3 linked regions of the Oryctolagus cuniculus genome follow. The protein of the gene in region 1 purifies or fractionates together with the protein of each later gene. This does not show direct contact. Links are inferred from orthologs where the notes say so. Each region holds a gene or a part of one and is shown on either strand. Other genes may lie near its edges.

What was found.
Region 2: the proteins of CHAF1B (region 1) and CBX1 purify together in Homo sapiens (affinity purification with mass spectrometry; 4 studies listed by BioGRID and IntAct, with this or other methods). This does not show direct contact. The link is inferred for Oryctolagus cuniculus from reciprocal best matches to the Homo sapiens genes CHAF1B and CBX1.
Region 3: the proteins of CHAF1B (region 1) and CBX5 purify together in Homo sapiens (affinity purification with mass spectrometry; 8 studies listed by BioGRID and IntAct, with this or other methods). This does not show direct contact. The link is inferred for Oryctolagus cuniculus from reciprocal best matches to the Homo sapiens genes CHAF1B and CBX5.

The regions. Positions count from the first base shown.
Region 1 is NC_091435.1:8,449,423-8,453,071, forward strand, and holds part of CHAF1B (chromatin assembly factor 1 subunit B), read right to left. Parts: intron 3,370-3,649; coding exon 3,207-3,369; intron 2,175-3,206; coding exon 1,746-2,174; intron 1-1,745. UniProt on the Homo sapiens protein: Acts as a component of the histone chaperone complex chromatin assembly factor 1 (CAF-1), which assembles histone octamers onto DNA during replication and repair.
Region 2 is NC_091448.1:24,353,083-24,356,542, reverse strand, and holds the end of CBX1 (chromobox protein homolog 1), read left to right. Parts: intron 1-2,606; coding exon 2,607-2,784; 3' UTR 2,785-2,837; downstream 2,838-3,460. UniProt on the Homo sapiens protein: Component of heterochromatin. Recognizes and binds histone H3 tails methylated at 'Lys-9', leading to epigenetic repression. Interaction with lamin B receptor (LBR) can contribute to the association of the heterochromatin with the inner nuclear membrane.
Region 3 is NC_091442.1:57,182,240-57,185,888, forward strand, and holds part of CBX5 (chromobox protein homolog 5), read right to left. Parts: intron 2,737-3,649; coding exon 2,636-2,736; intron 482-2,635; coding exon 331-481; 3' UTR 1-330. UniProt on the Homo sapiens protein: Component of heterochromatin that recognizes and binds histone H3 tails methylated at 'Lys-9' (H3K9me), leading to epigenetic repression. In contrast, it is excluded from chromatin when 'Tyr-41' of histone H3 is phosphorylated (H3Y41ph).

The sequences.
Region 1 (3,649 bases):
GGGGGCCCGTACCGGCATCCCATATGGGTGCCAGTTCTAGTCCCGGCTACTCCTCTTTCAATCCAGCTCTCTGCTATGGCCTGGGAAAGCAGCAGAGGATGGCCCAAGTGCTTGGGCCCCTGCACCCATGTGGAAGACACCTGGCTCCTGGCTTCCGATTGGTACAGCTCCAGCTGTTGTGGCCATTTGGGGAGTGAACCACTGGAAGGAAGACCTTTCTGTCTCTCCCTCTCACTGTCTGTAATTCTCTCAAATAAACACATAAAATCTAAAAAAAAAAAAAAAAGGCTAAAAGAGAAGATTTTGAGTGTCTTTACCACAAAAAAAGTTTAAAGTAATGGGTATACTAATTGCTGCAATTTGATAAGTGCACTATCATATATGTATATATATACACACATACATATATACATGTATACCAAATATCACACTGCACCCCATAAAAATGTCTAATCTTACATACCATTCAAAAGTAAAATAATTTTTTTTTTCTTTTTTTGACAGGCAGAGTGGACAGTGAGAAAGAGAGACAGAGAGAAAGGTCTTCCTTTTCCGTTGGTTCACCCTCTAATGGCTGCTCCGGCAGGCACGCTGCGGCCGGCATACCGCGCTGATCCAAAGGCAGGAGCCAGGTGCTTCTCCTGGTCTCCCATGCAGGTGCAGGGCCCAAGGACCTAGGCCATCCTCCACTGCACTCCTGGGCCACAGCAGAGAGCTGGACTGGAAGAGGAGCAACTGGGACAGAATCTGGCGCCCCGACCGGGACTAGAACCCGGGGTGCCGGCGCCACAGGCAGAGGACGAGCTTAGTGAGCTGCGGCGCTGGCCAGGAGTGACTTCTTTTTAAAAATTAAATTTTATTTTACTTGGCTGGATTCTGTCCTGGTTGCTCCTCTTCCAGTCCAGCTCTCTACTGTGGCTTGGGAGTGCAGTGGAGGATGGCCCAAGTCCTTGGGCCCTGCACCCGCATGGGAGACCAGGAGAAGCACCTGGCTCCTGGCTTCGGATCAGCGCAGTGCGCCGGCCGCAGCGTGCTGGCTGCAGCGGCCATTGTGGGGTGAACCAATGGCAAAGGAAGACCTTTCTCTCTGTCTCTCTCTCTCACTGTCCACTCTGCCTGTCAAAAAAAAAAAAAAAAAAAAAAAAGGCACTCCTTTGATTCCTGGCATATCAGGAAGTGCCTGGTGCTTAGACAGAAGAGCACAGGTAACAAACAAACAGCCTCCTGCCCTTGAGGAAACACCTGCTACAGGGGTCATGGGTATGGCAAGCAAAGGGTTAAAGGGCCACAAAGACCAGGAGTGGAAAGAGACATTCACCCTGAATGGGTTTTTCAAGAGGACTCTAGTTCCAACAAGGGGGTGTGGGTGGGTGGGTGATCAGGGCTTTCCCAAGGAAGGCAGGGACAAAAGCCTCAAAACAGAAACAGTATGCTCTGAGAACACACATGCAGGCCCAGGCTTAGGAGTAAGGCACGTGGGACTGTGGAGAGTGAGGGCTACGGTCCTGGACACAGGCTGCAACCAAACCACAGTCCCCAGGCATGCACAGGGCATGGGCTGCATGAGGCACACAGGAAGGGGAGGAGCTAACAGAGGCCTCCGAGCCAGCACGCTGTCACTGGACCTGACAGTAAATGTCCCTTGCTGGCAAGTAATTGCTTCTAGAATTTCACTCACAACACCCTGGGATGTTTGATTTGTTTTTCATTTCACAGTGATGATTTCTCGTCTCGTGGAAACTCACCGGGGTGTTGGCTTGCTCCAGGCTTGCAAGGTGTTGAGCGTGACCCTCCGGGGTGGAGGCGCTCTTGGGTTCTGACTGCTGTGCTGCGGGGTCTTCTCCTCTGAAGGTCCTGGCAAGGGGCTTCCGACACCAGGAACGGGAGGCGTGTCCTTGACGGCTGCTGGGGCCGGAGACTGTCTGGCCTGGGGTGGGGTTGTACAGGGACTGCTGGAGTCCTGGGTTCTGCTGGTGGGCGTCCCCTCTATGGATCTGGACCCCGGTGAAGATCCTTGGTGTGCCTGATTCTTAGTTTTCTTTGCCGTATCAGGAGTTCGCATGATCAAAACTGGCTTCTCTTTCAAAGGTATTCCAAGTTCATCCTTCTCAAAGGTCACAAATGAACAATAACCATCAGTGGACGAGATGGCCAGGAAGGCCCCATCACTGGACCTGTGTTCCCAAAACGGGGAAATCAGAGGTGCCACCAAAGTCTGCGGACCCTGTTTAACACTTGTTACCGTCAGAGGCTCCTTATGCGTGCAATTTCCTCTCCCAATCCCATCTCCATGTTCTAAGTCACCACAGCTATGTGCAGTATTACTAACTTTCATCTGAATATACGTGAGATGACCTTTTTTCTCCTAAGGCAAAAGAAAATTAAAAGAAGAAAAAAGGAACCAAGAAACAGATGGTGTCAGGCCAAGCCTTGGCCAGAGCTCCAGCTGGGCTGAGCAAGCAGCAGAGGGTGCATCAGGTCCTCCCACAGGAGCAGGGTGGCGACCTCGGAGACAGACTCTGGGGCCCCCTCCCTCTTCTGGACAGCAGGGCTCACTGTTGAGGGTTTTTTCCCAGAGCCTGACAAGTCCCCAATGACTAGAGAATCCATGGGGCCTTCTCTCGTTTATCAGAGTTCAAGTACATCTCACAGGGCAATTGAAAGGCATCAAAATGCACTGGTGTCAAAACAGGAGGTGGGGGCCAGCACCACGGCACGGCAGGTTAAGTCACCACTTAGGATGCTGGCATCTCATACTGGAACACTGGTTCAAGTTCCGGCTGCCCTGCTTCCCAGTCACTCCCTGCTAATGCATCTAGGAAGGCCGCAGATGAAAGCCCAACTATGATGGTCCCCTAGCACCCATGTAGGAAACCCAGATGGAGTTCCAGGCTCCTGGCTTTGGCCTGACCCAGCCCTGGTTGTTGGGGCCATTTGGGAGTGAACCAGCAGGTGGAAGATCTCTTTTCTCTGTCTCTCCCTCTTGTTTTACCTTTCAAATAAAATGAATCTTACAAAAAACAAACAGGAAGCACTGCTGTGGCAAATGAAAAATGGCTTACCTTTAAATGTTAATTCATTAAAAAAAAAAAAGAGGGTGAGTAGAGGGCCAAAGGAGCCACCTTGAGTACTGATGCTCCCTAGCCCAAGGCTTGCCCCGGGAATGCCCTCTCTTTCCTTCACTTCGCTTGGCTATCAGCACTCACCAGGAAATATCACTCAGGGTGTGGTAATGAATGTTGGACACGTAACCGAAGGGGAAGGGCTGCTGTGTGTCATACAGGAGCACAGAGTCCTCGGAGGCCACTGCAAACACCAGGCGGTAGGGCAGGTCCATCAGCTCCATGCCTGGCTCGTGTGCTGACTGGTCTGCAGGAGGGGAAGGGACAAAGTAAAACAGCAAAGTCCCCAAAGGGAACACGTAACCAGTAGACCAAAAAGGTCCTCTCCAAGAGGACACAAAGAACATCACTTTATCAAACCCTAGCTCACTGTGGGCCTTGGAGAACACAGCTCTTCATACTCTTTTCCACATGAATACATCAATAGAAGAGAACCACGCATGAACCAGGGAACAAGGAGCTAAGAGTCTCAGGCACCGAGGTTCCCAAAAGGAGAGCTCAGCACAGACGACGTGTGGATGCGGCAG
Region 2 (3,460 bases), on another chromosome or scaffold:
TTTGTGGCCATCTGTGGAGTCGACCAGCAGATGGAAGATCTCTGCCTCTGTAACTGCCTTTCAAATAAATAGATCTGAAAAAAGGAACTAGAGCTGATAGTGAAGCCTTAGTATCTTACTCCCTCCAGTGTTTGACTTTTGCATCACTTAGTGACAGGATACTTTCTGAGAAATGTGTTGTTAGGCGATTTTGTCTTTGTTGACCATCATAGTGTACGTACACAAACCTAGATGGTTTGACCCACTACACACCTACACTACTATACGGTATATACCATCATTCACACAGCCTGTTGCTGACTGAACTAGACAGATAGCGCTACAGCTCAGTGTTAACCTAGGAAGAGTCTTGGCTTTTGGTAATGGTAGCAACATCCTCGTATTTTAGCAAGGGGACAAGAAAGTTCGATAAGAGGTGCTTAGGACCCAAGACAAGTATCAGTCTACACAACTTGGTTAGAATTTTCTCCAAAAGCTCCTGATTTCCTAGCCAGTATGTTTAAAGTTGTTTATCTCCTGTATATGCATGACTTTTAATTGACCTTGGCCATGTAAATTTCTGTTGAATAAATTGAAATGTCAGAAGCAAGTGAAATCTGAAATAGAACCACCCTGGGATGAAAAGTTGAGCCATTGAGCCTGCTGTGTGTGGACAAGCAGAGTGGTCGCAAGGGGTTTTTGTTTGTTTTTGTTTAGGTCAGTCAGCTAGCAGAGGTAAGGCAAGGCTGAACTAAGTTGAGACTACATGCTGACAGTTAAACTTTTATGCTTTTTGTTCAGCCTGTGTTAAAATATTCAGCAGGACTAGGTCTGCATTTTTGATCTTATGGGTATGGTGGTTTGTGTTAGTACCAAAGCCCATTTGCCCCGGGTGGATTTTTAAATCCTGGTTGACTTTGATCAAGCCTACTATTTGCTTGCTGTTTGCATAGCCCAGGAGTTAGGGCAACATTGAAACCTGGCTGTGGGACATTAGCCCATTGTTTGAGTTACTGCCTTAGCCTGTAGCTGAGGACTGGAAGGTCTGAGTCAATTGTATTAACCTGAACTTGTATTTAAAATGAGGCAAAAGTGCCAGCTTGTGTTCTTTTCTACACCTCTCCCCAGGTGAACTTAGTTTTTTTTCCTTTGTTTGAAATAGCAACTGGAATCATGTACAAAGTGTTGTTCAGCCCGTCTCTATTCTGCAGTCTGGGAGCCAGCTCTAAGGCCTCAGAAGGAAAAGGAGGCTTCTATCCAGCTGACGTTGGAAACGGTTCCAGCAGGGCCCCATACTATCACTGCTCAGGGACAGTTAGAGCACTAGTTTGTTTCTCAGGTGATTGAGGCAGACCTGAACTCCAAGCAGCTTTGGACAGAACAAGGACTAGAAATGGTAGAAGTTGCACACATGTCCCCAGGATCCACGCATGCTCGTTCTCTGCTACAAAGTTCAGAACCAGAGGCGAGCAGGAGGACTGACTGCTGGGAGAAGCAAGCAGACATGCAAAGGGTTACTCTTGCTACCCTGACAAAACAAGTCAAAGCTTGATGGGTCCCCTTTAGTTACCAAGCTTGTTAAGTGAAAAAAAAACAAAACAAAACAAAACAAAAAAAAACAAAAAACCAAGGTTTAGCCATCCATGAAGATGAAGCCTGTGGATTTTGCTAGAGTTCCACAGTTGACAAGGAAATTGACTTCTGAGAGGCAGACATAATCCTGTACCTATGTTTATCCATGGATAGCATCAACCTACAGACTTCTTGGTATTCCCCCCGCCCCCCACTTCAGTAGGTCTGAGCTGCTTTCCATCAGAGCCCAAGGGTGAGGGTAGGAGACTTTAGGGAGGTGGGTATTATTTTTTTCTACAAGGCACTTGGTTAAACTACTTGTCCAAGAATCCTGAAGAGCAGCAAGGTCTGGTTTTGTAAAACAGGATGAATGAGGCCTGCCCCCTCAAAGAAGCAGGGCTCTATGGAAAGTAGCCTCCCATTTATGCATTTGAGTAGGTCCTGCTTTGCTTCCCCCAGCAAAGCTGAGGGAGTTAGCCATGGCGGCTAGGTCCTGACATTAAGTGATGTCTAGATCACTATTTACCCCTTAGCTTCATTGGGGAGATCCATACAGGGCAGAGGGTTAAACAGTGGGTCTACAGGGCTGGTGCTGTGGTATAGCAGGTAAAGCCACCGCCTGCCATGCTGGCATCCCATATGGGCACCAGTTCGAGTCTTGGCTCTTCCACTTCCTATCCAGTTCTCTGCTATGGCCTGGGAAAGCAGTAGATGATGACCCAAGTGCTTGGGCCCCTGCACCCAAGTGGGAGAGCTGGAGTAAGCTCCTGGCTCCAGATCGATCCAACTCTGGCCATTGTGGCCATGTAAGGGAGTGAACTAGCAGATGGCAACCTCACTCTCTGCTTGTGTAACTCTTTCAAATAAATCCACCAATCTTGGGGGGGTGGGGTGGAGTGGGCCTGCATCATCCCACATACATGCGTGGAAGTCAGTTTAAATGAAGCCCAGGTCTTCAGAAGCAAAGCAGGCTTGCCTATACCCAGCCAAGCAGGTCACCAGAGTGCTTGGCCCTTAGTTAACTCTAAGGTCTGCTCCTCTCTGCCCCCCTGCAGGACCTCACTCCCTGGATGCATGCATAGTGGCGGCAGCCCCTCCACAGGCCTTCCTGGAGTTCTCGCATCTTCTTGCTGCCAGGAAAAGCCTACAGGGCTGCAACACCCACTCTACCTGCCAGCAGCAAAAGGAGGTCAGCCCCGCAGCAGTGCTGACCAACCTGGCCCGAGGCCCTGACTAATCAGTGCGATCCCGGACAAAACACCTCTAAGGGGCCAATACACTCAGCTCCAAGCAGGGAGAACACCGCAAGGGAAAATGAAGGAACTGTGTTCAAACCTAAATTTCCTGAAGTTACAAAACAAGCCTAATTGTGTACCAAACAAAAACAACAGCAGCCTATTCTACACATCTATGAACAGAAAACTATTGCCTGAATTTTACTTGGTTACCCTTTAGGGTGGTTTCCTTTTTTTTTTTTTTTTTCCCTTTAAGAATCCTACTTTCTTCTGGTCTACGTCAGCCAACTCCAAAGTAAGAGAAAGCTATTTGACAACTGACCCTTCTAACCGAGTGGGAAAACCCTGTAAATTAAAGCATATGAGTAAGAAGTGAGTGTTTTCTTAGAGTTCCTCTCCATCTCTTAGGACAATCCTACGAGCATTAAAGGACCGAGATGCTGAGACGAACCAGATTACACAGGTAGCTGCAAGTTCATGATCACAGCCTGTACCTCTAGACTCTGCAGCTATGCCCAGGAGACTGCCAGGGGAGCACTGGCCACACACTCTCTGGGATGGGCACTTGGGACCTGCAGCATCCAAGAGGCACCAACCACAGAGCCCCGCGGCTTCTTGGAGGGAGATTCTCGTCAGAGCAGCTTTTCCAGGACGTCTCCAGGCTGGCGCCTCCC
Region 3 (3,649 bases), on another chromosome or scaffold:
CCTGGAAAGATCAGGACTCGAAGGTGATTAAAAAGTTAAAACTCCTCTTGAGGTCACAGGGGAGCAGGAGGAGGAGATCAGGGCAAAGGAAACCATCGTGGGAGTTACACACAGTATGTAAATGCCTGGTCTGCACGGAGACACTGCGCGTTGAGTCAGACCATCAGTTAGGCTACCAGAGAACCAATACCAACATTCCCCCTGTGGGGCACAGTGAGAAGCACATTTTTTATGGATGTGTTTAGGAGAGAAGGGGGTGGGCAGAAGGAAGAGGAGGCAAGGGAGGTGAATGTATTATGTACAAAGAGAAAGACAGAGCCCACCCCTCCTTTAGCTCTTTGCTGTTTCTTTCTCTTTGTTTTCCGCGTCCTCGGGATACGCGTGCCACGTCAGTCTCTCTTCATAAAATGCTATCACAATCTGTGGACATTTCACGTTGGCTTCTTTTGCAAGAACCAAGTCGGCTTCATCTGTGTCCTTCCTGCAGAGAAAGAAGGGGACACTCAAAAAGGAGAGAAACCGTCTACACACACGCTCATGTCATCAACGCACTCAGTGGACTTGATTCCAAGGTGAAAAGGACCCTTATGGCTCAATATTTTCAAGGAGAAATGGAAGTAAACAAATCATGAGTACATATTGCTTAACTACGGTATTAGACAGATACAGAAATCTGTAGCTGAAATTCAGATGCAAGGGATCGGTGCTGTGGCGCAGTGAATTAATGCCCTGGCCTGAGGCACTGGCATCCCATATGGGCGCCGGTTCGAGTCCCGGCTGCTCCACTTCCGATCCAGCTCTCTGCTATGTCCTGGGAAAGCAGTGGAAGATGGTCCAAGTGCTTGGGCCCCTGCACCTACGTGGGAGACCTGGAAGAAGCTTCTGGCTCCTGATCAGTGCAGCTTTGGCCGTTGTGGCCAATTGGGGAGTAAACCAGCGGATGGAAGACCTCTCTCTCTCTCTCTCTCTGCCTCTCTTCTGTGTAACTCTGACTTTGAAATAAATAAATCAATCTTTAAAAAAAATTTAGATGCAAAATATGACGGCTGAGTTTGAAAAGCTGAATAAATTATACTAATTCTGCTTCCGTAATTTTTATGTATGAGCATGTGAGTAAATACAATTGAACCTCACTATTAATTATGGGTAAACCCATCAGTTCAGTTTCTGGATCATCCCAGTGAACAGGGTCTAGCCTTTTGTGACCTTTTAAATATTCATGACCCCTTTGGTCAGAATTGTGGACTGGTATGGTATGAAAATAGAAATTTAGCTGTGGGGCTGGCACTGTGGTACAGTGGGATAAGCTGCCACCTGCAACGCTGGCATCCTACAGCAGAGTGCCAGGAAGGGTCCTGGCTGCTCTGCTGCCAATCCGGTTCCCTGCTAACACACCTGGAAGGCAGTGGAAGACAGCCCAAATGCCTCAGCCCCAGCACCCACATGGGAGACCCAGATGGAGTTCTAGGCTCCTGGCTTCAGACTTGTCCAGCCCCAGCTGTTACAGTTGTTTGGGAAGGGAATCAGAGGATGGAAGCTCTCTCTCTTTTTCCCCTGCCTTCCCCCCATCCTCTCTGTCACTCTGCCTTTCAAATAAATAAATAAATCTTAAAAATTTTTAGCTGTAACATCCAGTTATCCAACCTACTTTATCAAGTGATCAAAAAATCTAGGAATACGGTTCCTTAACTACTATCTTAAATCAAGGGAAAAGCACTTTAATTAAGATTTTCCTGTGACAAGGGCTATCTCCTTTGGGTCACTCACAGAGGTAAGTGTTATGGGTGAGGAAAGGGAAAACAGGCAGCTGAGACTCAAATCTGGATTAGCGTGGAAAGAGCAATTTAATACGTGAATGCAAACCCTAAGTAACACATACGGCTGAGTAGGGAAACCGCCAGTCAACAGAGCACCTTACTTCGGACAGAACACCGTGGTCCTCCATACACAGGTTTTGGGGTCAGTGCCCGGCAGCATTCTGACCAGTTGAAATATTAAACCTTTGATGAAACGTGTAGGGCCCTCAGCTTCCTTTGTGGCATTGGGGCACAAACCCTCTACACAGCACAAGCCCAGAACCCTTGGAAAAACTGAGAGGCAGTGAGGGCCACACCATCAACCAACCTGCCTTTAAGAAACCCAGCTGAGGGACAGCACTTCACTTTCTTCCGAGAGTCATTCTTTCTACGTGATGACATCACTTGTGCCTTGGCTGCTCACTGTTAACATTCATTTTTTCTGCCACATGTCAATGGCCTTGGCTCTCTGTGATGGCAAAGCCTCACTCAACTCCTGTGCCATGCTCCAGATTCACTGTCTTACAGTAAAGCATCCAGACTTGTGTGAGCCAATGGTTCATCAGGACTCTAAGGTTCCTACCTTGGATTTGCCTCTTTCCAACATGTGGGCTACTGTAACGTAACCGGCTGAATACCCAAGCGTGAAAAGGCTCAAGTCCGTTCCGAACCTTAGTACTCACCTTATGTCAATGCCCACAGCTCATCCTGGTTAAGGATCCCCGGCATTCCACATCATTACTTTGGGAAATTTTCAGTATTGCCACCCCATCCTTCACACAAATTTAAGTCACAGGCAAAGTGACCACAATGACAAACTGAGGACCCGTCTCGCTCACCATTTCATTAGGAACATTAAATCGCCACAGGAATCTGTCGCTCCAATGATCTTTTCTGGCTCCAGTCCTCTCTCAAAGCCCCGGGCGATGTCATTGCTCTGCTATACACAGAGGAGGAAGAAAGGTTACATACAGGTAGTGAAGAGTGAAAAACACTTGTTCCTCAGGTTAGCAAAGCACAACTAAGGTAATATCATCTGCTACCACTTCTGGCCCCAACTTAGAAACATTCTTAGAACTCAAGAATCATGGATCAGTGCTGTGGCTTAGTAGGCTAAGCCTCTGTTTGTGACACTGGCATCCCATATGGGCGCGGGTTTAAGACCCGGCTGCTTCTCTTCCGATCCAGCTCCCTGCTGATGACCTGGGAAAGCAGTGGAAGATGGTCCAACTGCTTGAGCCCCTCCCACGTGGGAGACCTGGAAGAAAATTCTGGCTCCTGGCTTAGGATCAGCTCAGCTCTGGCTGTTGTAGCCATTTGGGGAATGAACTAGTGGACAAAAGATCTCTCTCTCTCTGTCTCTGCCTCTCTGTAACTTTCTGCCTTTCGAGTAAATAATTTTTTTGTTTTTTGACAGGCAGAGTGGACAGTGAAAGAGAGAGACAGGTCTTCCTTTTCCGTTGGTTCACCCCACAATGGCCGCTGCGGCCGGTGCACCGTGCTGATCCGAAGTCAGGAGCCAGGTGCTTCTCCTGGTCTCCCATGTGGGTGTAGGGCCCAAGGACTTGGGCCAACCTCCACTGCACTCCCAGGCCACAGCAGAGAGCTGGACTGGAAGAGGAGCAACCAGTACAGAATCCGGCGCCCCGACCGGGACTAGAACCTGGTGTGCCGGCGGAGAATTAGCCTAGTGAGCCGCGGTGCTGGCCTCGAGTAAATAAATACTAAAAAACAAAAAACAAAAAAAACAACCAAAAACCCTGGATTGGCACCGCAGCTCACTAGACTAATCCTCTGCCTGTGGCGCCGGCACACCGGGTTCTAGTCCCGGTCGGGGTGCCGGATTCTGTCCT